Linked DNA regions of Tribolium castaneum. The protein of the gene in region 1 interacts with the protein of each later gene in a pairwise test. Links are inferred from orthologs where the notes say so. Each region holds a gene or a part of one and is shown in the gene's direction. Other genes may lie near its edges.

What was found.
Region 2: the proteins of Exo70 (region 1) and Prp19 interact in a two-hybrid assay, tested with the Homo sapiens proteins (2 studies listed by BioGRID and IntAct, with this or other methods). The link is inferred for Tribolium castaneum from reciprocal best matches to the Homo sapiens genes EXOC7 and PRPF19.

The regions. Positions count from the first base shown.
Region 1 is NC_087399.1:7,150,532-7,163,061, forward strand, and holds the end of Exo70 (exocyst complex component 7), read left to right. Parts: intron 1-1,604; coding exon of another isoform or gene 1,605-1,769; intron 1,770-2,673; coding exon of another isoform or gene 2,674-2,697; intron 2,698-2,747; coding exon of another isoform or gene 2,748-2,972; exon of another isoform or gene 2,973-3,012; intron 3,013-3,068; exon of another isoform or gene 3,069-3,091; 5' UTR 3,092-4,639; coding exon 4,640-4,690; intron 4,691-4,735; coding exon 4,736-4,901; intron 4,902-4,974; coding exon 4,975-5,174; intron 5,175-5,226; coding exon 5,227-5,568; intron 5,569-7,675; coding exon 7,676-8,035; intron 8,036-8,080; coding exon 8,081-8,260; intron 8,261-8,305; coding exon 8,306-8,540; intron 8,541-8,592; coding exon 8,593-8,809; intron 8,810-8,857; coding exon 8,858-8,966; intron 8,967-9,016; coding exon 9,017-9,150; intron 9,151-9,200; coding exon 9,201-9,303; 3' UTR 9,304-9,351; downstream 9,352-12,530. Other genes in the region: stet (uncharacterized protein LOC657740), read right to left, coding at 1,605-1,769, 2,674-2,697, 2,748-2,972; Dis3l2 (DIS3-like exonuclease 2), read right to left, coding at 9,959-10,195, 10,243-10,813, 11,944-12,530. UniProt on the Homo sapiens protein: Component of the exocyst complex involved in the docking of exocytic vesicles with fusion sites on the plasma membrane.
Region 2 is NC_087395.1:23,120,288-23,133,334, forward strand, and holds Prp19 (pre-mRNA-processing factor 19), read left to right. Parts: upstream 1-7,121; 5' UTR 7,122-7,129; coding exon 7,130-7,253; intron 7,254-7,375; coding exon 7,376-7,525; intron 7,526-7,569; coding exon 7,570-8,033; intron 8,034-10,287; coding exon 10,288-11,012; intron 11,013-11,061; coding exon 11,062-11,206; 3' UTR 11,207-11,333; downstream 11,334-13,047. UniProt on the Homo sapiens protein: Ubiquitin-protein ligase which is a core component of several complexes mainly involved pre-mRNA splicing and DNA repair. Required for pre-mRNA splicing as component of the spliceosome.

The DNA.
Region 1 (12,530 bases):
TTATCTTTTTAATTTATTTCTTAATTTATTTTATGTATTATTTGAAGTTTTATTTCCTGTTGAAAAATTTACATAATTTGGGTAGACAGTTATTCAAGTAATGCACAAAATACATATCTTTGCTATTTGTCATTTAAAAAAATTCTTGAGCAGGCCAATTTTATTTTTTTTTAATTTGATCGTTCTGGTAATAGGAAAAAAAGTAATGAAAACTTAAAAAATAAATTTAATAAAATAAAAATAAGTGGGAGTCGTTTAGGGCTTATTAAAGTACATTGTATTTTAATGAATTTAGGGAAATCAACCTTTAGTAAAACTTGTTTTTTAATATACTATTATATAGTCTTTATGTTTATAATTTTAATTTATTTCTTCATTTATTTTATGTATTATTTTTAAGTTTTATTTACTGTTAAAAAACGAAAAAGAGCAGTAAAAAATCACTGAATTTATTTTATTTTGTCCGAAAAAACTTAGATTTTGAGGTTTTTCGTTTTCAAAACAACCGGACATGAACGAACGAACCAGAAACTTACTTACCTAAAAAAAAAAAAGCAGAATTTGATAGATAAATTATTTTATTTGGAACGTTAACTCGTACATAAACTAATTTTTGAGGTGATATGACATGATTTTGTTGATTATCTACTTTTTCAAGTTCAACCCTTTCTATTTTTAAAGAAGTAAAAATATATTATAATATATTGAAAAACAAGTAGATAATATTATATTCGACATCTAAATAAGAAATGTATTGAGAATATCGTTTTTTTGGGAATGTATTATACAGTATGTGTTAGAAATAGGTAAGGTTGGCAACTTTTTTGACATTTCTCCTGTCAGAAATGCTTCTCGATGTCGTCGCATGGCGTCGCCGCGCTCGCTCATTATTCCGCGGTCATAAAGCGGCCACCTTTGGAATTTATTCGCCATCGTCGCGATTAAATTAAATTGACTAATCAGCGCGTTCCGACTGTCTCTTTTTTCCTTCACTCGTCTTCGTCTCGGTGTTTTTATTTTTTATTCCTCTACAACCGAAACCAGTTCCTGAATACCGCAGAAGCGGCAGCAACAGGAGCAGCAGCAGCAGCACCAGCACACATCCATCGGTGCAATAATTTTCGCAATGAGCTTATCTCGCAGATAGCGAGAGTGAGTTTCAGGTAGGTAGTGGGCCCCTGATGAAGGTGCACCACCCGCGTTCGGCCTTGAAATCGACCGTCGTCGCAATGCAAAGAATTCGCCGAGTTCATCGAGCAGGCCGCGATAAAAACAAAAGTGACATAACGAAAGTCAATCGACGCGTAAATGAGACGTCACCCCCAGGCGTACCACACACGCCGTACCAAAATTCCCAGCATCCCCCAATAACAATAGACGATCGGGGGAGAAATACGGCTCTTTCACTGTTGTGACTACTTTGTCGGTGTGAAACGGCCGGATTTGGACGAGTTATTTATTGCTTGTCACACTAACGAGGAATTTGAAAAATGTCATTAGTGTGGGCGGGCGCTTTTACATCGGCGAATTTATTTATGAAAAACACAATAGAATCAAAAACCCCGACGTTTCAATGCTAGCTTAATGCGAAATAAAAAACTCACCACGTTCACGAAATCTTGGAATGTAATCGCCGGTGTTGTGGCACTCCTGGCCTTTTCTAACAGGATCTCGCGTTTTCCAGTGCCGACGCGATGACGAAACTCCGGGTCCGACATTGCTGAAATCAAGTCGCCCCAGGGGATTTCCCCGAAACCCTCCGGGTCGTACTGCCAACACGCGGCGTTAAAAGTCACCAACTTGTTACAGAGTATGGAAATTGCTTCTTTAAATACAAAGCACAACAATTTTTTTTTGCTATCTTTTATATTAAATTATATCTAGATTAACTTTATTTAAATTTATTAAATATTTAATAAATAATTTTAATATTAAATGCTAAATATTTAAATTTTATTAAAACATATTTTTTTAACTTAACTCAAAAACTCAAAGGAATTTCGAAAAAAAAATAAAAAAATGATCACAATTTCAAAGCACTTAATGATGTGCTTACTATTTTTAAGACTAAGGATCGGTTTATAAACGTCATTAATTTAATCCGCAATTAAATGCGTGATTAACTGATCACGTGACCAAATTGAGCCAATTTGATTGGTGTATCGGCTAAATTTAGGGAAATCTCATGAAAATCCCTTTAAAATAACTTGATTTATCTAGAAACGCAGTAAAAAACATATCTTTTTATTCAAAATAAGAAAGTTAATACCGACTTCCGGTATAACCGGAAGTGCCGCCATGTTGAAAATATCGCGGCTTTACACAATTTGCAGATACTTATAATTATTAGAACATTCAGTACTTTTAATATGCCGTTTAAGCGAAACAGCCTGTATATTGTGGCGTTTATTTAAAAAGTTTTTCTTTTTAGGTTTACTTGATTTTCAAAATTTTGATTTTTCAAAGATTTTGGCGGTTTTGAATATTTTTTTTTCTGAGATTTGACATGATGGCCAGTTTTTGATAAAATTACATAAAAGACACGTAATAGACATCAAAAAAATAAGAAAACATGTTCACTTGTGATATTAAAAGATGCTAAAAGCGAAAAAAGCACTTTCCATACTCATCAGAAACAGTTATTTGTTGGATTTTTTGATCATCCGTGTGTACCTTGTCGAAAAACTGGCGCCATTGCTGTAATAAAAAGTATATATTTTGTGTTTTTTGCATTTTTGGGCGCTCACGTCTCGTAAAAGTGTTCGTTTGAGTTCGGCCTCGTCCGATTCGCTCGCCAGATCCGTGTGATCCGTGTCGTAATGATCCGGAAACGAGGCCAAAGATCCGGTGATTGTCGCTATGTGTCCGGGTTCGATTCCGGATTCCGATGATTGGGCATGAGTAAGATTTGTTGGCAGGATTTGGGTGGTAGAGGGCGACACTCGATGAGGCCACGCCGAGTGCGACAGCATAATACCGGTAACTGCATGGACCGGTTTGCGTCTCGGCTAACTAAAATTTGCAATTTATGCCAAAAAATTGTCTTTGCATATTGTTTTTTATTTTACTACTGTTATTGTTGTTGTTACAGCTGTGAATGATCCTTGTCGCCGATTAAGTGGTACGAAAACTGAAAAAATGGACGAATTTTCCTCACAGCACCATTCACAATCGGAAAAACTCAACGAAAAGGTTTTCCTCGCACTAAAAAACCATACACCTGTCTCAAAAAAACTGAAAAAAAACAAAAACACGCCACACGTTCTGCACTCCGGCAATTTCCACTTTTCCCCAACGTCAACTCGAAATTCCCCTATCGTGAAAATTCATCCCCTCTCGAGAAAATCGTAAGGTTTCATTGATTTTAAATCTAGTCGGCCGGGGGAAGATTGGGGTGGTTTTGGCCGAAGTTAGGGTGAAACATTTGACGGGCGACAAGCGTGAATCACAGAGGGTGCGTGTCTAGACCAAATAATCAGAAATTCCGTTTCTTTTCATTAAATTTAAGGGAGAATTAGATTTTTTCGAATCGTTTAGGGATTTGTTGTTTGTCAAGTTTGACAATGTTTTTCTTTTAAATAATCATCTTGCTTTCGCAGTAATTATACATTACTTTATGTTTTCCACCCAAATGCGCGAAGGACGTTAAAAACGTATAGAAAATTTCGAAAGTAGCACTTTATTTAGAGTACAAATATTTAAGGGTTAGGATATGAAAAGATGTAGAAAATAAAACGTTCCCGTCCTATGTTTTCAGACCAATGAATTTGAAAAAAAAATTGTATACCGTTTAACACATAGCAAAGAAAAAAATATAGGCACATAGAATATTAAATTCTCCATAGTAGGACATAAACATAATACAAAAATTTTATCGTAAACTATATTTAAAAAAACTTGTACCAATTTGCACTCTACCCCATATTTTTCAAAACGCTGTGAATAGAGTTACAGATGCAAGAAAAATGTTAAAAAGAAAGTTGTAGAAAATTAAATTTTTTACAAAAAAGTCCGGGACACCATGTTTTTATGAAGATAAAAACATGAAGATAAACTGTTGAAGAACAGTTTAGGTATAAATTACGTTTCCGTTACTTGAGCGTTTTTGAACGTTTTTAGAACCTAAACTGTTGACGATAGAGATATGGCGTCACGAATTTTTTATATTAAATTTATTTCTCTACAAATTTCTTCAAAATTATTTCCTTGTATCTTTAACTATATTCGCAAAGTCTTGAAAAATACGGGACGAAACGCAAATTGTAAAATTTTAATAATTTTTTTTCTCGTATTTTTTTATGAAAATTTTAGACCATTAAGAGTACAAAGCTCAATATTTTCGCGTTTTTTTTCAAGTAATAGTGAATTCGTTGGGTTTAAATAAATTTGGCGCCGAAACAATATAACGTTTGAAGCGCCCTCATTTTTACTCCACCGGACTATTTTTTTGGGTTCAGATAATTTTGAGATTTCGTATTTTCTTTCGTCTCCTAACTTATAGTCCTCCGTAGCATTCTCTAGTTTAGGGATTTGCCAATTGTCAAGTTTGTTGATTTAGTAACAAAAGACGTCAATAATGTTTTGCTCGTAAAGTCTTCAATTTTGGAAATAATTCTCCAAAATATTGGGATTAAACAAGATGAATATTATCGAGGAACGCACTTATGAGATTACAAGCAAATTGGAGAAAGTCAGTGATTTGGTAATCGTGACATAATCTAACTTATGCCCGTAGGAGAAATCTAACCTATCTTTGCTGACTGAAAGACTGAAAAAAAGCTCTCAAATCACGAAAGGCATTGATACGATTCTCAATTCGTTTGAGGAGCGTCTTTCACGGCTTGAAGACACTATTTTACCGGTCTACAATGATACCGAAAATTTACAAAAATCACAAGTCAGTATCCTTGAAACGCCCCTAGTTTTCGTCTCAAATATCAAATTTAGTTGATTTTCCTTGACTCAAATAACCAGATATCGACCAAACTCTCACATATCTCGACGATGTTATAAGCTATTACAACGTATCAAGTGACGTTGAAAGCACAATTGAGAAAGGACCTGGTGAGAGCGGTATCGATTTAGACGACTACATCCACTCATTAAATCGCCTGGCGAAAGCCCAGAAATATTTCGAAAAACACATCCCCCAAAGCGTGGAACTCGAAAATGTCGTACGTCTAACCCCCATTTTTTAGGTCAACAAAATTTAAAACAGGTTTTTAGACCACTTTATTTCATAAAGGTAGCGACAAACTCAATTCCGAATTTAAAACAATTTTGGACAAATACAACACTCCAATGCTTCCGGTCGTTCTCCTCGATTTGATCAATTACGAGAATTCTGACAACCGCGAAAAGCTCCCACCTGTTCAAATTCCAGACCATACGAAAGCCTATTTGATTAAAATCGCAAATTGGCTACTTGACAACGGCCGAGATGAATATTTAACAGTTTATGGTAAAGTGCGTGGGGCTGTTTTACAGCGGTCTTTGACCATGTTACGCAACCACCAGAAGAGCGTAAGCGGTGGGAGTGTCCATGGTGTTGCCAGTTCACCAATGCTGGTTGGTAACTTGTGCTGGTACTAGGGCTGGGCAAGATAATCGAGTAATCAGTTGATTAATCAAATAATCGGTTAATCGTTATTGACACAAAGTACGTTCAAATATAAAAATTTTATCCGGAATTTTTCGGAACTATTCGGGTTTTTCCGTCGGAAATAAACCTTTACTCAGATGGCGCTACGGATAGTGGCGGCAAATTTGAATTCAATCTAAACCTTGTTCGTTTTTTTTTTCATTTAATAATAAAACAAAATTATAAATATAATTAAACACTAACAGAAAGTACTAAATATAAATATTAGACTACTTACAGATCATTTACAACATAAGTATAGTTTCAGACACAATAAGTTATCTTTTTAGACGTTTCTGCATGATACAATGGAGAATATTAGAATCGAAATACTGGAAATTTTTATTTGTCTGTCCTAACCTTCTTTACTTCCGCTTCTGCTTAAAATTGGTTTCACTAAAGAATTATTGTAAATTAAGAGTGTTAACTTCTTACATTAGAGAGAATTAGATTAAGAATACGTGATAAATACTAAATACTAGATTGGGCTTTGGTTATGCGGTTTTTTCTGTAGTTATAAAGTGTTTTTTGTTGGAATTTGAAAGAGAACTAAAAGTGTAGAAGATTAATTTTTTGATTACAAAATGTTATTAAAACAATTGTATACTTAAAGACTATAAGTAATGGATCATAGCGAGCACATGTTGGGCTCAAAAAAAAAGACAACAAATTAGTGAAGTGTGTGAATTTTAAGTTAGAATTTTTCCACTAAAAAAATCATGTAATACTTCGGTAAATTTACAAAACTGCAATTAAGATTAACAACTGCTGTTACATTTAAGCATAAGTTACAAAAGGTGGTCTTTTCAATGTCTGTAATAATTTTACGTAATATTAAATTACGTATTATGCTAATATCATAAAATAGTGAGAAACACAAACAAAAAGAATAAATAAATACTGCAAGAAATTTTGCAAGATTGTATTTCAAGTGTTTTTTTTTACCAATATCTTTGAAACTAAATGGTCGTAAATTTTACATTAGACTCAGGCTATTCTGATAGTTTCGAGACAATCTGTTATAACACTTTAATTATTTTGGTTTTATTCCTTTTTTTAGCCGTACCACTTGATAAATCTAACATTTTAAACAGTACCTGAAAATAACTAATTAAATGTAACTAAAAATAGTTAATTAAAAATACAAAAAAAAATAAAAAAGGGCTTAAATAATGATCAATTAATTTTTTATTTTAAAACTTTTGGTATTTTGAGAGCTTTTTCTAATAATATTTTTTATACTATTGATGGTACCGTAAAAACAAAAGCAGATTTGGAATTCTCTGAAAATTCTGCATTAGATTCCAGTTATTCTGATTGTTTAAGAACTCAAGACAAGTTCTTATAACTTATAACATTTTTTGGTAATTTGAAAAGTAATTTTATTTTATTTTTTACAGCGGTACCATTTTTATAAATTAAATTGTCCAGGCAGTATCTAGGAATTAATCTATCTAAAAAGTTATTTACTTAAAAATACTAAAAAACTAGAAGAAAAGAACTTTAAAACCTATCTAATAAGTAGAATTTTTCAAGTAGTTTTTTACTAATATCTTTTAAACTATTGGTCATACCGTAAATACAAAAACAAATGTGGATTTCTCAGAAAATTTCGCGTTAGATTTCGGCCACTTTAATTATCTAGAATCTTGAAACAATTTTTTAAAACACATTATTTGGGCACTTTATGGTAATGTAAAAATTAATTTTGGTTTTATTCATTTTAATTAATTAATTATTAATAAATTATTATTATTATTATTCTTAATTAATTTAATTAATTAATTTTACTTTCGAATAATAACTGAGATCCCCATGGTGGTCGCCCATTATATCACCCTTTGTGTGGTATCTACCAATATCGCATATTTTGTTTTTGTTGCCATTCTGAACCAGTTGTATATTCTAAAAGTAGGTAAACATTTTCCAACTGTTTTTCTAACTGTCGATGTGATTAATCGATTACTCGAAATCAAAATCGCCCAGGCCTAGTTAGTACCACTCTAATACCAACTTGAGAAAAACAAATTGTAGCGCCCCAAATTTCAAAACCGACATGAAGCTAGTCGCAAGCCATCAACGCGCCGCCTCCACCACGCCTTCGAACGCAAAGCCAATCGCATGCTTTTAAAAGCATCGCAAACGCTTGAACATTCGACAGGTTTCACTCTCGGCACCCGACGCGCCTCCTCCCACCTCGACCCCTCCTACAACGGGGAGGAGTTTGACAACGAGCAAGAACTAGAGAATTATCTAGTGTGCGTGATCGCGCTACACAAACTGATGCAAATCGAGCAAGCCTTGATCAAGGGCATAATCGCGCCAAGGCACCAGCCCCGAGTTTTCGAATTGATAGTCAGGGAGGCCATGGACACAATCGTCCAAGATGGCGAGGTTTGTAGCCAGGGTTGTGTTATCACTTTTTTAAAAAGGTTTCAGAATATAGTCTCGCGTGCGAAGAAATGCATCAGTCGGCACGATTTCGGCACAGTTTTGGTCGTTTTCCCGATTTTGAAGCAGCTGCGTTCGCTGAAACCCGAGTTTGAACGAACGGTGGAGGAGTGCGATTTGAATGTCAAGTCGAAGTTTGACGCCATTTTGGGGATGTTGCACTCGACGGTGAGCGATTTGATTGGTTGTTGGTGGTGTTTGATTGGTTGCTAGGGGGCGAAAGCACTCGAGGACTTCATCGAGAGTTTACGGTCCGATTCGGTGACGCAGTTGCCTAGCGACGGGACCGTGCACGAGCTCACAAGCAACGTGATCATGTTTTTGGAACAATTGCTCGATTATACCGACACTATTGGCATGGTTCTGGCACAGGATGTTAGTTATTCGAGACAATTGGACCGTTTGAAGGCCGCTGACACGAACAAGGCCCTTCTGGGCCTTTATATTAGTAATAATTTTTGATCAAACTTGAGTGGACGTTTTTATTTTTCGAATTTTAGAGAAGGTTTTAGTGCAGTTGAACCACACGTTGATTAGTAAAAGCGAACAGTATAGTGACCCAGCTTTGAAGGCAATTTTCCGCTTAAATAACAACAATTATGTGCTGAAGTCGCTCCAGCGCAGCTCATTACTGGAGTTGTACCTAATTTCCGAACCGAAATGTGAGGAATATTACTATAACTCTATCCAAGAACACAAGAAAGCTTACTCGCAAAGGTATCAGTAGTGAATGGGAGGGTGGCGCCCTCTATGTATATTTTTCAGTTGGGGCAAACTCTTGAACTACATCTGGTGTGACGACTCGCCTGTTAATCTTTTGCACGGTGATAAGCTCCGTGATAAAGACAGGGCCGTAATTAAGGAGAAATTTGCTGTGAGTGGCCTTAAAACCTAAAAAATGGCGCCACAAAACGGTTTTTTCAGGGTTTTAATAAAGAAATTGAAGACATCGCCAAAGTTCAGCGCGGATATTCGATTCCAGACGTCGAATTGCGCGAAAGTATCAAAAGGGATAATAAAGAGTTGATTATTCCGAAATACAATTCGTTTTATAACATGTAAGTGAGTTGGTTGTGTGTAAAAATTAAATTGTGTGTGTGTTTCACAGGTATGCAGGTGTCCAATTTACAAAGAACCCGGAAAAGTACATCAAGCATAAGCCTGATGAGGTGTCCGCGGTTATTGACCGTTTCTTTGATGTGGCGGCCTAAATATAGAATTTGAAAGTTTGATAAATAAATAAATTTTTCCGAAACTTGGGTTTTGTCATATTTTTTGTGCCCCCAGCCGATTTTTTGTTGCCATAGGCGATTTTTTGTGCTATTTTTTGTGAGCTCCGACAAAATTGATTTTATTTTTCAGCACTAGAAAATTGTAATTTTGTAATTTTTCGAAAAGTCGTTTTTTGTCGAAGTTTTTGTGACCATCGCCAATTTTTTGCGCCATTTTTTGCTACCACCCGCGATTTTTTGTGCTATTTTTTGCGAGCTCCGACAAAATTTATTTTATTTTTCAGCACTAGAAAATTGTAATTTTTCGAAAAGTCGTTTTTTATCGAAGTTTTTGTGACCTAGCCAATTTTTTGTGCAATTTTTTGCTACCACCCGCGATTTTTTGCGCTATTTTTTGCTACCACCCTCCATTTTTTGCGAACTTCAAGAAAATGCATTTTATTTTTCAGCACTAACAAATTTTCACTTTTCGTAAAGTTGTTTTTTGTCGCAGTTTTTGTGACCATAGCTGATTTTTTGCTCTCTTTTTTGCGACTACAGCTGATTTTTTTATGGGGGGACGGGAGGAAATAAAGTTTCGAATTTTTAACAGTTCGTTTATTTTAATTTTTTTTTTAATTGCTTTGAACTCGCCTTACACGAGTTGTATCGGCCTCAACAATTTCGCGTCCAATTTGTTCGTTTTGTGCTTCCGTGCCAATTCGACTCTCACCAACGTAAAAATTTCCAAAACGATGCAAACTTCCGGTTCCTCGACAGTCCTTGGAAATTTAACAAAAATCTTCCACATCTTCTTCGCAGTTTCCTCATCGCTTGAACTTTTCCTTACTTTAATTTCCTCACTTTTCCACGTAACTTTATCCCCAAAATTCTAATAAACAAAACATGACAAACAAAAACAAACCTAACACAACTTACATTTGTATAAATCCTGACAACACTTCCCGTCCTAATCACAATAACATCAATAGACCTTTCTTTCGCATCCACAACCACTGCATTTTCAATCACTGGTTGATTCTTTTCGACAAAATGGGCCAAAAACAGGTCACTACTAGCCTCCCCGGCCCGCTTGGCGTGATATTTCTGCCGGTTACACGTTTCGGCAATCGTTGCCACCTCCTCAGGCGCCCAAGTGGGTTTCTCTCGATAGTTTAAACTCGCTGCGAGCAGTCTGTGCACCATTATGTCAGCATATCGACGGATTGGTGACGTAAAGTGGGTGTAGATGGGTATACTGAGGGCGTAATGACTGTAATCGAGCTCCTCCTCAAGGGCACCGGCACAAAAATATCGCGCCCTCTTCATAGGCTTGGCCAGGAGGTGGTTGAGGACGATCATGCGGGCTTTGCCAAAATCGTCCTCACTGATGTACTTGTTCAAGGAGGCTTGGATGCCCCCCGAAGTGGAGATGTCGATGTGGAGGCCCAGGGTTTCGAGGCTTTTTTGGAGCTCGGTCATCATGGTCGGCTTGGGCGCCTCGTGAAGTCTTCACAATTATTATTATTATTTCATTTATTATTGATAAACATAAAAATAAATGGTGCAGACTACGGAGGACTATAAGTTAGGAGACGAATCGCGATACTTAATCGCAGGATTTTCTGAACCCAAAAAAATAGTACGGTAGAGTAAAAATGAGGGCGCTTCGAGCGGTATACCGACTCGGCGCCTAATTTTAATTATTGGAAAAAATACATAAATGTTAAATTTTGCATCCTAACAGACTGAGAAAAACTGACGATTTAAATTTTCAAAGGAAACTACAGTAAAAAATTATTTAAAGTTTATGCTTTGGTAAAGCACTACCATGTATTGAAAGACCGAGAACAAAAAATTGTTACCAAATGCAGTTTCGTTTTTTGGGACCGAATTAGAATTCGGAATTAAGTTATATTAAATTAAACTGTTAGCTTAAAATCAATCACTTTATAAAGGCTACGTGATTCCAAGACCATTTCGTTTTGATTTTGGTCTACAAAGGGATTTAAAAATATTAGGTGGTACATATTATTCTGATTTAAAAATTGTGTCAGATGTAATAAATTGTGCAAGAACCAAGGGCTCGAAGTATTGGAGAAATTATAAATAGTTATTGTAATGTTTAATTATATGTTCTTCCAAATTTTAATACTGATTCAAGACCCAAATTTCTTAATTTTTGCTATACTATTTAATTTAGTTATAAAGAAATATAATAAAAAATAAACAAAACACAAAAATATTTTTTTTGCAAACAAAATTTAGCAAAGTTTCAAACCGAAATATATAGATTCCACTGGAGCGGACCAGTAGCTCCCCGAACGGCCGTTTTTTTGACACTGGACAGATAACGAAAAAACCAATAACTAACTTTTTATTAAACTTCTTGTTGGATTTCCTTGGCGTGGAAAATATTTAATTTATTTAAAAATATTTAATTTATTTAACTTTTTATTAAACTTATCGAATTGGCATGGGGGTAACAAACGTAATTTTGAAAATTTAAGATTTTTAAGATAATCTATTTTTAAAACCATAATAAATCGAGTTTGTGTAGGAATATGTACTTCTGGGTGTTGCCAACTTGATTTAACTTTGATTGAGTTAAAAAACATTGTAAAATGGTGAAAAACTCACCTCAGAAAGGCCAGGTCCGGGTAGGCCTCATTTATCCACTTGGCCACGGTCATGTTGGCCAAAAGCATAAACTCCTCTATTAATCTATGCGCTGGTTTATTTTCACAAATGTAAAACTCTTTCGGTTCTCCGGTTGCTGGATCCAGCACGAAACCAATTTTAATTTGATCAATTTTCAACGACCCATTTTGCCTCCGTTTCTCCCTCAAACAAACGGCAATCCTTTGCAAATCATTGACCCGCTTACTGAGATCATGTGCATTAAACCCGTTGTAAATCTCCGGAAGCTCGTCTCGTTCAAACTTCCGGTCCGGATCATCAATCATGACTTGCGCATGCTCGTAGGCTAGTTGAACACATGAATTGATCACTGATCGCTTGATCCGAAAATCGACTATATCACCAGTCGGTGTCAACTCCCAAAAAACACTAAATGCGAGTTTATCTTCACCCGGAAGTAGCGAACAATGGAAGCACAACTCCACCGGAAGCATGTGATACACACTGTCAACCATGTAGATCGTAGTAGCTTTGCTTTTCACAATTTCGTCCAGTCGCGTGTTTTCCGGAAGGAAAAACGAAGCATC
Region 2 (13,047 bases), on another chromosome or scaffold:
GTCGTATACACCGGCTCTAAATACGGTGTTGAAAAGTCATAGTTTGAGTGACTCATTTTAAATTCAGTAACTAAAAATTAAATCAAACACTCAAACAGTTTATTGCCACGTAATAATTTTGTCTTTAATTTCAATGAATGAAAGTGGCTTGCTCAAAATTTAATGCAAAGAAACATTTTTTTTTTTTGGTTTCTTTTTTATTATTATTATTTTTTATGCTACAAACGGTAGCCAACGTGGAAGCGAAACACAGGTACGTCCATTTTATTGTTGTGTCGTATTTATTTATTTATTTCACAAACCAATAATTTCATAAAATTTAATTGCAATTACAATGTCGTATACACCAAAGCCAGTAGATATACTAAAGTAGCGACACGGACCTTGACAGGGCAACAATAACGATTATATACTCTAGAGAGGGCGCAACTATCGAAATTCGACATATACCGCATTATTTACATAAAATGCCTAGCCTTGAAAAGCCTTAGTAAGTGCGTTTTGTCTCTGTTTCTACGTTTAATCTTCACTAAATGAAATTGCTAAAGGGGATGCTCAAAAGAGATATTCGTTAAAGGTCACATTAGATGATAGATTTAAATCGAGAATGTATTTAAACAGGCAGTTTACTTTTCCAAGGCTCGACATTTTTTGTAATAACGCTGTAATTTTAAAGGTTCGTCAAATTGTCAGTAATTTTGAACATACGTCAAAACTGTCAAGATTCTCTCACTTTTGAAAAATTGGTAAAGAGCACAGTGATTCTGGCGTTCATCTGTAGTTTTACTGTGATTATTGGTTATGAACAGATTTCATGGAACTTTCAAACCTGTGCTTAAATCACGTAAATAATAAATCGACACCAAAAACATTAAACAAAAGGGCCTCCAGAGTGTTCAACGTCGTCCACATTACGAAGCACGTGTGTGTGAGAATACTGGAAACTCATTCAAACAAAAATTGTTTCAGAAACATAAAGTGTTAGGTACCAACTTGAAAGAGAAATTTCTAAGATACCAAATTTTCAATAAGTATTTCAGGTAGATTTAAACAATACTTCCTTGAAAATTCATTCTAAATTATTAGATTCTGTCTTAATGGGAAAGAATTTAAGACCGCTCTGCTTACACTGACCTTCGTTTCACAAAATTTAATGCATCTAAATCTGAAAATTGTAGCGCATCGAAGTTTGGTGGACTTTTTATAGCCACTTATTTACAGCAACTATGTTATACAACATTTAAATAATAAAGAGAAATTCAGGTTGTATCATTTCTATTTCTTAGGTAATATCGAGGTGTAAACCGTACCCCAAATGGTTTCCTGTGATTTTATCATGATTCCTTCTGATTTTCCCTAAATTTTTAAAGTGATTTCCTTAAAATTTCTTTATTTACTTAATTTTGTACACTGATTTCCTCTGCGGTTTACCTCTCGGGTAATATTGAAAACATTTACTTTTCTTATTGCGAAAAATGTCTTGGTTTCATAGCAGTTGTTAATAGTGTTGAGGAAAAAAATTAAATTTAATTAAAAAAAAATAAATCGACCAATTTAAAATCTTGGAGTAATTAAATACGATAAACTGTAAAAACACTTAGAGAGGAGTTTATTAAAATTAGAAATGTAAGTATTACAATTTTTTGAGATCAAACAACTATTATTTTGAAACGTGTTTTTGGCTTTTTCGTTAAATACAAAGTTCAAATTGTTTTAAGGAATGAATTCACTGTTGAAGCGCCAGCACCTTCTTCGAAATGTCCATAAGAGTTGCTGTATTCTGCGCATTCTAAAAGCCTTTCTCATTGCAATGTTCAGTTGAATTTAGGGACGATCTGATTTATTTTTACGTGAGTGAAGCACAAGTTTGAAGGTTTCATGGTATCTGTACACATAAACTGTAATAACCAGGGTGAAATTAAAGACGATCACCGAATTTATTGTTCTGATTCACCAATTTTTCAAACGTGAAAAAATCTTGACATTTTTGACGTACGTTTTTGAATTTTGATGGTGGAGCCATCTGTAGAGTGTATAATCGTTATTGTTGCCCTGTCAAGGTCCGTGTCGCTACTTTAGTATATCTACTGGCTTTGGTATACACCGGCTCTAAATACGGTGTTGAAAAGTCATAGTTTGAGTGACTCATTTTAAATTCAGTAACTAAAAATTAAATCAAACACTCAAACAGTTTATTGCCACGTAATAATTTTGTCTTTAATTTCAATGAATGAAAGTGGCTTGCTCAAAATTTAATGCAAAGAAACATTTTTTTTTTGGTTTCTTTTTTATTATTATTATTTTTTATGCTACAAACGGTAGCCAACGTGGAAGCGAAACACAGGTACGTCCATTTTATTGTTGTGTCGTATTTATTTATTTCACAAACCAATAATTCGTTAAAATTTAATTGCAATTACAATGTTGCTCTAAATACGGTGTTGAAAAGTCATAGTTTGAGTGACTCATTTTAAATTCAGTAACTAAAAATTAAATCAAACACTCAAACAGTTTATTGCCACGTAATAATTTTGTCTTTAATTTCAATGAATGAAAGTGGCTTGCTCAAAATTTAATGCAAAGAAACATTTTTTTTTTGGTTTCTTTTTTATTATTATTATTTTTTATGCTACAAACGGTAGCCAACGAGGAAGCGAAACACAGGTACGTCCATTTTATTGTTGTGTCGTATTTATTTATTTCACAAACCAATAATTCGTTAAAATTTAATTGCAATTACAATGTCGTATACACCGGCTCTAAATACGGTGTTGAAAAGTCATAGTTTGAGTGACTCATTTTAAATTCAGTAACTAAAAATTAAATCAAACACTCAAACAGTTTATTGCCACGTAATAATTTTGTCTTTAATTTCAATGAATGAAAGTGGCTTGCTCAAAATTTAATGCAAAGAAACATTTTTTTTTTGGTTTCTTTTTTATTATTATTATTTTTTATGCTACAAACGGTAGCCAACGTGGAAGCGAAACACAGGTACGTCCATTTTATTGTTGTGTCGTATTTATTTATTTATTTCACAAACCAATAATTTCATAAAATTTAATTGCAATTACAATGTCGTATACACCGGCTCTAAATACGGTGTTGAAAAGTCATAGTTTGAGTGACTCATTTTAAATTCAGTAACTAAAAATTAAATCAAACACTCAAACAGTTTATTGCCACGTAATAATTTTGTCTTTAATTTCAATGAATGAAAGTGGCTTGCTCAAAATTTAATGCAAAGTAACATTTTTTTTTTGGTTTCTTTTTTATTATTATTATTTTTTATGCTACAAACGGTAGCCAACGTGGAAGCGAAACACAGGTACGTCCATTTTATTGTTGTGTCGTATTTATTTATTTATTTCACAAACCAATAATTTGATAAAATTTAATTGCAATTACAATGTTGCTCTAAATACGGTGTTGAAAAGTCATAGTTTGAGTGACTCATTTTAAATTCAGTAACTAAAAATTAAATCAAACACTCAAACAGTTTATTGCCACGTAATAATTTTGTCTTTAATTTCAATGAATGAAAGTGGCTTGCTCAAAATTTAATGCAAAGAAACATTTTTTTTTTGGTTTCTTTTTTATTATTATTATTTTTTATGCTACAAACGGTAGCCAACGAGGAAGCGAAACACAGGTACGTCCATTTTATTGTTGTGTCGTATTTATTTATTTCACAAACCAATAATTCGTTAAAATTTAATTGCAATTACAATGTCGTATACACCGGCTCTAAATACGGTGTTGAAAAGTCATAGTTTGAGTGACTCATTTTAAATTCAGTAACTATAAACAAAATCAAACACTCAAACATTTTATTGCCACGTAATAATTTTCTCTTTAATTTCAATGAATGAAAGTGGCTTGCTCAAAATTTAATGCAAATAAATATTTTTTTTTGGTTTCATTTTTATTATTATTTTTTTATGCTACAAACGGTAGCCAACGTGGAAGCGATATGAAGGTAGGTGCATTTTTTTGCATTTTATCTTGTGATGTGTTGAATTTAATAGCTTGTGTGCCATATATTATACCGTATTGTGCATCCTTTATTCTGTATAATATTTATTAGTGTCGCTTGTTGTAACTTTCCTACAAATTAATTTTTTTTGTTGGTTGTGTTTTTAATTTATTTTTTAGGTTTTGCTACAAATGGTAGCAGATGCAGTATAAAGGTAAGAGCATTTATTTAACGCCAAGTGAAAAAACTTTGATTTTTGTGTACTATTTTTTCATTTCACAAACCAATAATTCTTTTATTCCCTTCATTTTCAAATAATCATTGTTTACCTCATCCTTATATCCTTTTTTCCTGGCAAGAATGCTCTAAACCTCCACGTGGTTCTTGCCGGACAAATTAGTTATTGACTAATTTGACCAATTAGAGCAATCCTTAAATATAACATTGTTGATTGTTTTTTACAGCCGTAAAATTATGTCGCTTGTTGTAATTTTCATGCAAATAAAGATTTTTTTATTGGTGTTGTTTTTAATTTTTTTTAATGCTACAAACGGTAGCCAACGTGGAAGCGAAACACAGGTACGTCCATTTTATTGTTGTGTCGTATTTATTTATTTATTTCACAAACCAATAATTTCATAAAATTTAATTGCAATTACAATGTCGTATACACCGGCTCTAAATACGGTGTTGAAAAGTCAGTTTGAGTGACTCATTTTAAATTCAGTAACTATTAATAAAATCAAACACTCAAACAATTTATTGCCACGTAATAATTTTGTCTTTAATTTCAATGAATGAAAGTGGCTTGCTCAAAATTTAATGCAAAGAAACATTTTTTTTTTTGGTTTCTTTTTTATTATTATTATTTTTTATGCTACAAACGGTAGCCAACGTGGAAGCGAAACACAGGTACGTCCATTTTATTGTTGTGTCGTATTTATTTATTTATTTCACAAACCAATAATTTCATAAAATTTAATTGCAATTACAATGTCGTATACACCGGCTCTAAATACGGTGTTGAAAAGTCATAGTTTGAGTGACTCATTTTAAATTCAGTAACTAAAAATTAAATCAAACACTCAAACAGTTTATTGCCACGTAATAATTTTGTCTTTAATTTCAATGAATGAAAGTGGCTTGCTCAAAATTTAATGCAAAGAAACATTTTTTTTTTGGTTTCTTTTTTATTATTATTATTTTTTATGCTACAAACGGTAGCCAACGTGGAAGCGAAACACAGGTACGTCCATTTTATTGTTGTGTCGTATTTATTTATTTATTTTACAAACCAATAATTTCATAAAATTTAATTGCAATTACAATGTTGCTCTAAATACGGTGTTGAAAAGTCATAGTTTGAGTGACTCATTTTAAATTCAGTAACTAAAAATTAAATCAAACACTCAAACAGTTTATTGCCACGTAATAATTTTGTCTTTAACTTCAATGAATGAAAGTGGCTTGCTCAAAATTTAATGCAAAGAAACATTTTTTTTTGGTTTCTTTTTTATTATTATTATTTTTTTTGCTACAAACGGTAGCCAACGTGGAAGCGAAACACAGGTACGTCCATTTTATTGTTGTGTCGTATTTATTTATTTCACAAACCAATAATTTCATAAAATTTAATTGCAATTACAATGTCGTATACACCGGCTCTAAATACGGTGTTGAAAAGTCAGTTTGAGTGACTCATTTTAAATTCAGTAACTATTAATAAAATCAAACACTCAAACAATTTATTGCCACGTAATAATTTTGTCTTTAATTTCAATGAATGAAAGTGGCTTGCTCAAAATTTAATGCAAAGAAACATTTTTTTTTTGGTTTCTTTTTTATTATTATTATTTTTTATGCTACAAACGGTAGCCAACGTGGAAGCGAAACACAGGTACGTCCATTTTATTGTTGTGTCGTATTTATTTATTTCACAAACCAATAATTCGTTAAAATTTAATTGCAAATAAAATGTTGTGTACACCGGCTCTAATACGGTGTTGAAAAGTCATAGTTTGAGTTTTAAATTCAGTAACTAAAAAGAAAACACTCAAACAATTTATCGTCGCGTTTTGATTTTGTCTTTAATTTCAATCGATGAAAGTCACTTGCTCTAAATTTAATGCAAACATTTTTTTTTGGTTTCATTTTTATTATTATTATTTTTTTAATGCTACAAACGGTAGCCAACGTGGAAGCGATATGAAGGTAGGTGTATTTATTTACTGAAGTTTTAAATTTAAATTGCCACATATTAAAACGTATTGTGTATTTTTTATTTTGTTTAATATTGACAAATGTTGCTTGTTGTAACTTTCATGCAAATAAAGATTTTTTATTGGTGTTGTTTTTATTTTTTAATGTCTTGCTACAAACAGTAGCCAACGCAGAAGCCATATGAAGGTAGGTGCATTTTTTTGCGTTTTATCTTGTGATGTGTTGAATTTAATAGCTTGTGTGCCATATATTATACCGTATTGTGCATCCTTTATTCTGTATAATATTTATTAGTGTCGCTTTTTGTAACTTTCCTACAAATTATTTTTTTTTGTTGGTTGTGTTTTTAATTTATTTTTTAGGTTTTGCTACAAATGGTAGCAGATGCAGTATAAAGGTAAGAACATTTATTTAACGCCAAGTGAAAAACTTTGATTTTTGTGTACTTTTTTTTTATTACACAAACCAGTAATGTCTTTATTCCCTTTTATTTTCCAATAATCATTGTTTACCTCATCCTTATTTCCTTTTTTCCTGGCAAGAATGCTCTAAACCTCCACGTGGTTCTTGCTGGACAAATTAGTTATTAATTTGACTGATTAGAGCAATCTTTAAATACGAATTTTTTTAACGCAGTTTGCAAAATTGAGACATTTTTTTACAGCCGAAGGCCCTATCGAAGGGCTTATTCCCCTACAAAAATAATGAACATTGCACGGTAAAAAGGGGGTGAAAAAAAACAATTTGCATTGCTTGAATATAAGAATAAAAATGTAGTCAAGTTTTAATTTGTAATAGAAACACATTAGAATGATCAGGGTATGTTTTTCTAATGATTTACGATTATTTTGATAATTTTCCTGGTGTGAACTTGGCTGTAGAAACGAGAATGTTGCTAGCTCCAGGCGCGCAACGATTGTCTGGTCGACTGTAATGTTCATGGTGCCATCATCATTTTTAGTGCATCTGCACAGATATCTCGGCCACAGTGTTTTTCACTTTGTGCGGTTGGCGACACATCAAGCTAAGTTAGCAAAAATGGCGTTGTTTTGTGCCCGTAAGTATGAATTTTTGTTGCGATTTTGAATAAAGTACGCTTTTTTAACGAATCAAAACTTAATTCGAGTGTCAGTAATGAGCTTCTGGCGCAGTTTGGGTAACGATTTGGCCCGGTTTCAGTTTCAAACGAGGTGCCGGAACACCCAGTCGTGTCCCCAACGTCGGGTGCGATTTTCGAAAAACGCATCATCGAAAAGTACATCCAGGAGCACGGCAAGGACCCCATCAGCGGTGACGAGCTCACCGTGGACAAGCTCATTGAAATTAAGAGTGAGTAGCCTAACCCAACTTGTTCGGTTCTAACCGCCACACAGCCCCGCCGATAGTCAAGCCGAAGCCGCCGAGCGCCACCAGCATCCCGGCCACGCTGAAGCTGCTGCAGGACGAGTGGGACGCCGTGATGCTGTACAGCTTCACGCAGAGGCAGCAGCTGCAGACGGCGCGCCAGGAGCTGAGCCACGCGCTCTACCAGCACGACGCCGCGTGTCGCGTGATCGCGCGCCTCAACAAGGAGGTGACCGCCGCCAGGGAGGCGCTGGCCACGCTGAAGCCCCAAGCGGGCATCATCACGGTGCCGCAGCCCGCGGTGGCGGCCGAGGCCGGCGGCATCGCCAACCAGCCGACAGAGCAATGCGGCCTGACTGATGAAGTGATTGAGAAGCTGCAGGACAAGGCCACGGTGTTGACGCAGGAGAGGAAGAAGAGGAGCAAGACGGTGCCTGAAGAGGTGTCCACGCCGGAGCAGTTGAGGGGATTCAAGACTTTGGCCTCACATCCGGTATATTTTCAATGTTTTTATTTATACCATCCAGTATTTCCCCGAACATCTCTTGCATTTTGCACAATTGTCGTTTTAAAAATTTCACTTGACAAATGCAAAGATTACTAAATGTGGTAGAAAATGACTTAGTTTTCTCTCTTACGAGTGTTTTAGCACATTTACCAATTGGAAAAACGTGTAAAGGTTGGTGTTATTTTGCTGGATTTACTCGATTTAGCTTGTTATTGGGCGAAATTTCATCAAAAATAAGCCAAAAGTCACAGGATGTGTTCAAAACACTGATATTTTTTAACTAAATGTTCGTTCAAATAAAAGAATTTCTTTCTAACCTAATTCTAATTGAATTGAGCCAAAAATGCGTTGTTTTTTTTAAGTAAATATCTAAATATTTCAATAAAGTGATCGAAAATGATGTCATTTCAGGTTGTTTATCTCGAACTTATTCTGAGAAATCAGGAAATTAATTTGGGAAATCTTCTATTTTCGTAATACATTTTGCAGTCAAAAAGCAAAATTTCGTTGAAATCTTGTTATTTTTGCCATTTTCCGGCAATTTAATTCGTATAACATTCGACAATGTAGTTATTTCGAATTTTTTTTTTAAGATAAGAGCGAAAATGTTACATTTTTTTGTTGTTTTCAAGTGTTTTAAATTTTTTTTGAAAACAATTTAAGCTTTTTTCTATAAACATTACAAAAACTTAATAAAAAAGCACTATTTTTACATCAAGATGGTTGTTATTTTAGACCATTCCCTTCGATTTTGTTTGTTTTTGAGCCAGGAATTTATTTATTTCCCAACAATAAAAATATAAACTTATTATTTTGTTTTTATTAACTTTGATTAACTTTCGCGAAATTCCCTTTAAAAAAAAACGCAAGAAACCACAAAATTTGATCAAAATTTTTACGTTTTTTAAGCTTTAGAGCACGTTTTTGAATTTAATTTTCAGCTTTTTTGGCGAAATTTTGCAAAACCAACTGAGAAAAACATGCAGAAATAATTTTTCTGTTTTTTGAGGCTTTTCTAAAAAGGTAGATGAAAAAAACACCAAATTAATTCTAAGATTTTATTATTTTTCGAGTTCACGAGCATTTTAGTACGCTTTTAAGACAGAACTGTTTTCCAAATTTCGTAAAAAAAATAAAAAGCCGACTCTTTTATTTTACGAGATCTTGACAAAACACCTAAAAATCAAAAACTTATTATCAGCTTATTTTTGAATGAAATGTTCCCAAAAACAAGACAAGAAACCAATGAAATTGTTAAAATTCTTATTTTTTCTTTATTCATGCTTTCAAGCACATTTGAATTTTTGTTTTAATCGCCAAATTAAATATAGAAAACTACATTAATTTTTCATTTGCGATCATTTTAATACGTTTTACACTTAAAACCACAAATATTCCGCAAAATTTCGTTCAAAACCATTCGGAAACTAATTTATTTTGTAATATCTTGTCACATAAGTGAATCGACATTAATTATTATTTAATTATTTAGTATATTTGAGTTTGAGTGAAATTCGTCAAAACTCATTATAAATAAGTCGAAAATTGTGTTAGTTTTACTTTTTTCCGGGCTGTAAGCACAAACTTTTGCTAGAATTGGCTAAAATCATCAAATTAATTAACACAATAACAAGTGTTCATTTAAAAAAAACTCTAGAGTGCTTTGAAAATAAAAAAATAATTGTTTACTATGTCTGTGATTAATCCGTTCTTTCATAACCTTACTTTTTGACAACTAAAAGAAAACAGATTTTCATCATAAAATTTATTTATTATTTATAAAAACTGTTGGAAATGTCTTCCTTGTTGTTCAACACACATAACACATCGCCTTTGAACACTATTTAACAATCTTTGGCTATGAATTGTGATGACCTGGTTGATAGGCAACCAACAATACAATGATAAAAATTGATCTACGAAATCCGTAAAAATGTCAGAGCATGCTACGAGTTTTTTTTAAATAATGAACACCTGATACCATTTATTTAGTTCGCTCTTGAACCAGGAAATTCTTCATTTCATTAGAACTCGCCAAAACTGCCAAAAATTCACTTTTAATTCAGCTCATTTTTTGACCTAAATTTGGTTAATCTTTTTTTACTTTTATTAAGGTTTTGAACCACATTTTCAGTTTGTTCAAGCAAACCGAAAAATCACCAAGTTCGGGCGAAAATTAGCAGATTACATTTTTTATTGAGCTAGAGTACACTTTACAGAGTAATTTCTTTGCCTCCAGGGGCTGCATTCGGCGAGCGTCCCCGGTATTTTGGCCCTTGACGTGCACAATTCCGACACAAGCAAAATTCTGACCGGTGGTAATGATCGCAACGCCACCGTATTCAACAAAGACACGGAACAAGTTGTGGCGATTCTCAAAGGCCACACTAAAAAAGTCACAAAAGTGGTCTACCACCCTGACGAGGACCTTGTTATCACCGCATCGCCCGACTCCACAATCCGCGTTTGGAACGTGCCAACGTCCCAAACCACTCTACTGCTGCGCGTCCACGAAGGTCCAATCACCGGACTGTCCCTGCATCCGACTGGGGACTACGTCCTGTCGGCTTCAGAGGACCAGCATTGGGCGTTTTCGGACATCAGAACGGGCGAACTGTTGACGAAAGTCGCCGACCAGAGCAATATTCCCCTGACGACGGCCCAGCTGCATCCAGACGGGCTGATTTTCGGCACGGGGACGGCGAATTCCCAAGTCAAGATTTGGGACCTGAAGGAGCAGCTCAATGTTGCGACTTGCACCGGACATGCGGGGGCGATCACAGCCATTTCGTTCTCGGAGAATGGGTATTACATGGCGACGGCTGACGATGCCTGCGTCAAGTTGTGGGATTTGAGGAAAGTGAGGAACTTTAAAACGCTCCAGTTGGATGAGGATTACCAAATCAAGGACTTGTGCTTTGATCAGAGCGGGACCTATTTGGCGGTGGCGGGAACTGATGTCAGGTAAACAATTTTTTTAATTTTGATTTGTTTCTAATTTTTTTTTTCTTAGGGTGTATTTCTGTAAGCAATGGCAGGAACTGAAGGTGTTCAATGACCACACGGCTGCAGCGACGGGTGTTAGGTTCGGTAAAGACGCCAGGTTTATAGCTTCCACTTCCATGGACAGGACATTAAAATTGTACGGTTTAGATTAGGGATAAATTGACTGCGAGTTGTACACAATAGTTTGTCGTCTTGCATTTCGCATAATTAGGTCTTAAAGTACGATTACTTTATGTTAATGTTTATTTTAATTTTACAAATAAAGTGATTAAATCTCAACTTGTTTATCTTCCGTCCCTAAAAACCTTTCCTCATAAGTGACCTATAAGCGCACCAAAAGCATGCGAGGCTAAATTTAAATTCGTGCTCTGACGTTAACAAAAAAGAGACTTCTACTCTTTACTTGATACGAAATCATTTCACTTAAACTTGAAACTATCTAAATTTTCTTTCGCTTCTTAAAATTTTTATCAAAATTTGAGAAAAATGTGTAAATCACAAAATGCGAAATATCTCAGTTCCTGTGGGAGATAGAGGGGTGGTTCTGCCCTTTTGAAAACCCCACTGTCCCGTAGTACTTTTCCTGGGCTATCGAATGGAGTGGGTCCCGTTCCCGTATCTCAATCAGGGACCGAAATAGCACTGCACATTTTTAAATCGGGAATCGAAGTACATGACGTAATAGAGCGTCAAAAGTTACGTGTGCATGCAAAATTTCAAGTCGTTACGACAACCGGAAGTGCCCCAAATTTAAGTTCAAAGTATTCATAAATTCGGAAGAAAACAAAGCAAGTTGATAAAAACTGCAAATAAAAAACTCTGGCTTTTTTGTTAAAAGTTTTTTTAATGTGATTTTATTTCACTTAAACTTGAAACTACCAAAATTTTCTTTCGCTTCTTAAAATTTTTATCAAAATTTGAGAAAAATGTGTAAATCACAAAATGCGAAATATCTCCGTTCCTGTAGGAGATAGAGGGGTGGTTCTGCCCTTTTGAAAACCCCACCGTCCCGTAGTACTTTTCCTGGGCTATCGAATAGGCTAGGTCCCGTTCCCGTATCTCCATCAGGAACCGAAATAGCACTGCACATTTTTAAATCGGGAATCGAAGTACATGACGTAATAGTGCTCCAAAAGTTACGTGTGCATGCAAAATTTCAAGTCGTTACGACAACCGGAAGTGCCCCAAATTTAAGTTCAAAGTATTCATAAATTCGGAAGAAAACAAAGCAAGTTGATAAAAATTGCAAATAAAAAACTCTGGCTTTTTTGTTAAAAGTTTTTTTATGTGATTTTATTTCACTTAAACTTGAAACTACCAAAATTTTCTTTCACTTATGAAAATTTTTATGAAAATTTGAGAAAAATGTGTAAATCACAAAATGCGAAATATCTCCGTTCCTGTAAGAGATAGAGGGGTAGTTCTGCGCTTTTGAAAACCCCAGGGCACCGTAGTATTTTTCCTGGGCTATCGAATAGGCTAGGTCCCGTTCCCGTATCTCAACCAGGGACCGAAATAGCACTGCACATTTTTTAATCACTAATCGGGGTACATGACGTAATAGAGCGTCAAAAGTTACGTGTGCATGCAAAATTTCAAGTCGTTACGACAACCGGAAGTGCCCCAAATTTAAGTTCAAAATATTCATAAATCCGGAAGACAAAAAAAAAAGTTGATAAAAACTACTAATAAAAAACTCAGGCTTTTTTGTTAAAAATTTTTTTTAATGTGATTTGTTTGGAGTCATTTTTTGCGAATCAATTTTGAGGCACTTCCTGTTATCGTAGCGACTTGAAATTTTGCATGCACACGTAACTTTTGACGCTCTATTACGTCATGTACTCCGATAAGTGATTTAAAAATGTGCAGTGCTATTTCGGTTCCTGGTGGAGATACGGGAACGGGACCTATTCCATTCGATAGCCCAGGAAAAGTACTACGGGACGGTGGGGTTTTCAAAAGGGCAGAACCACCCCTCTATCTCCTACAGGAA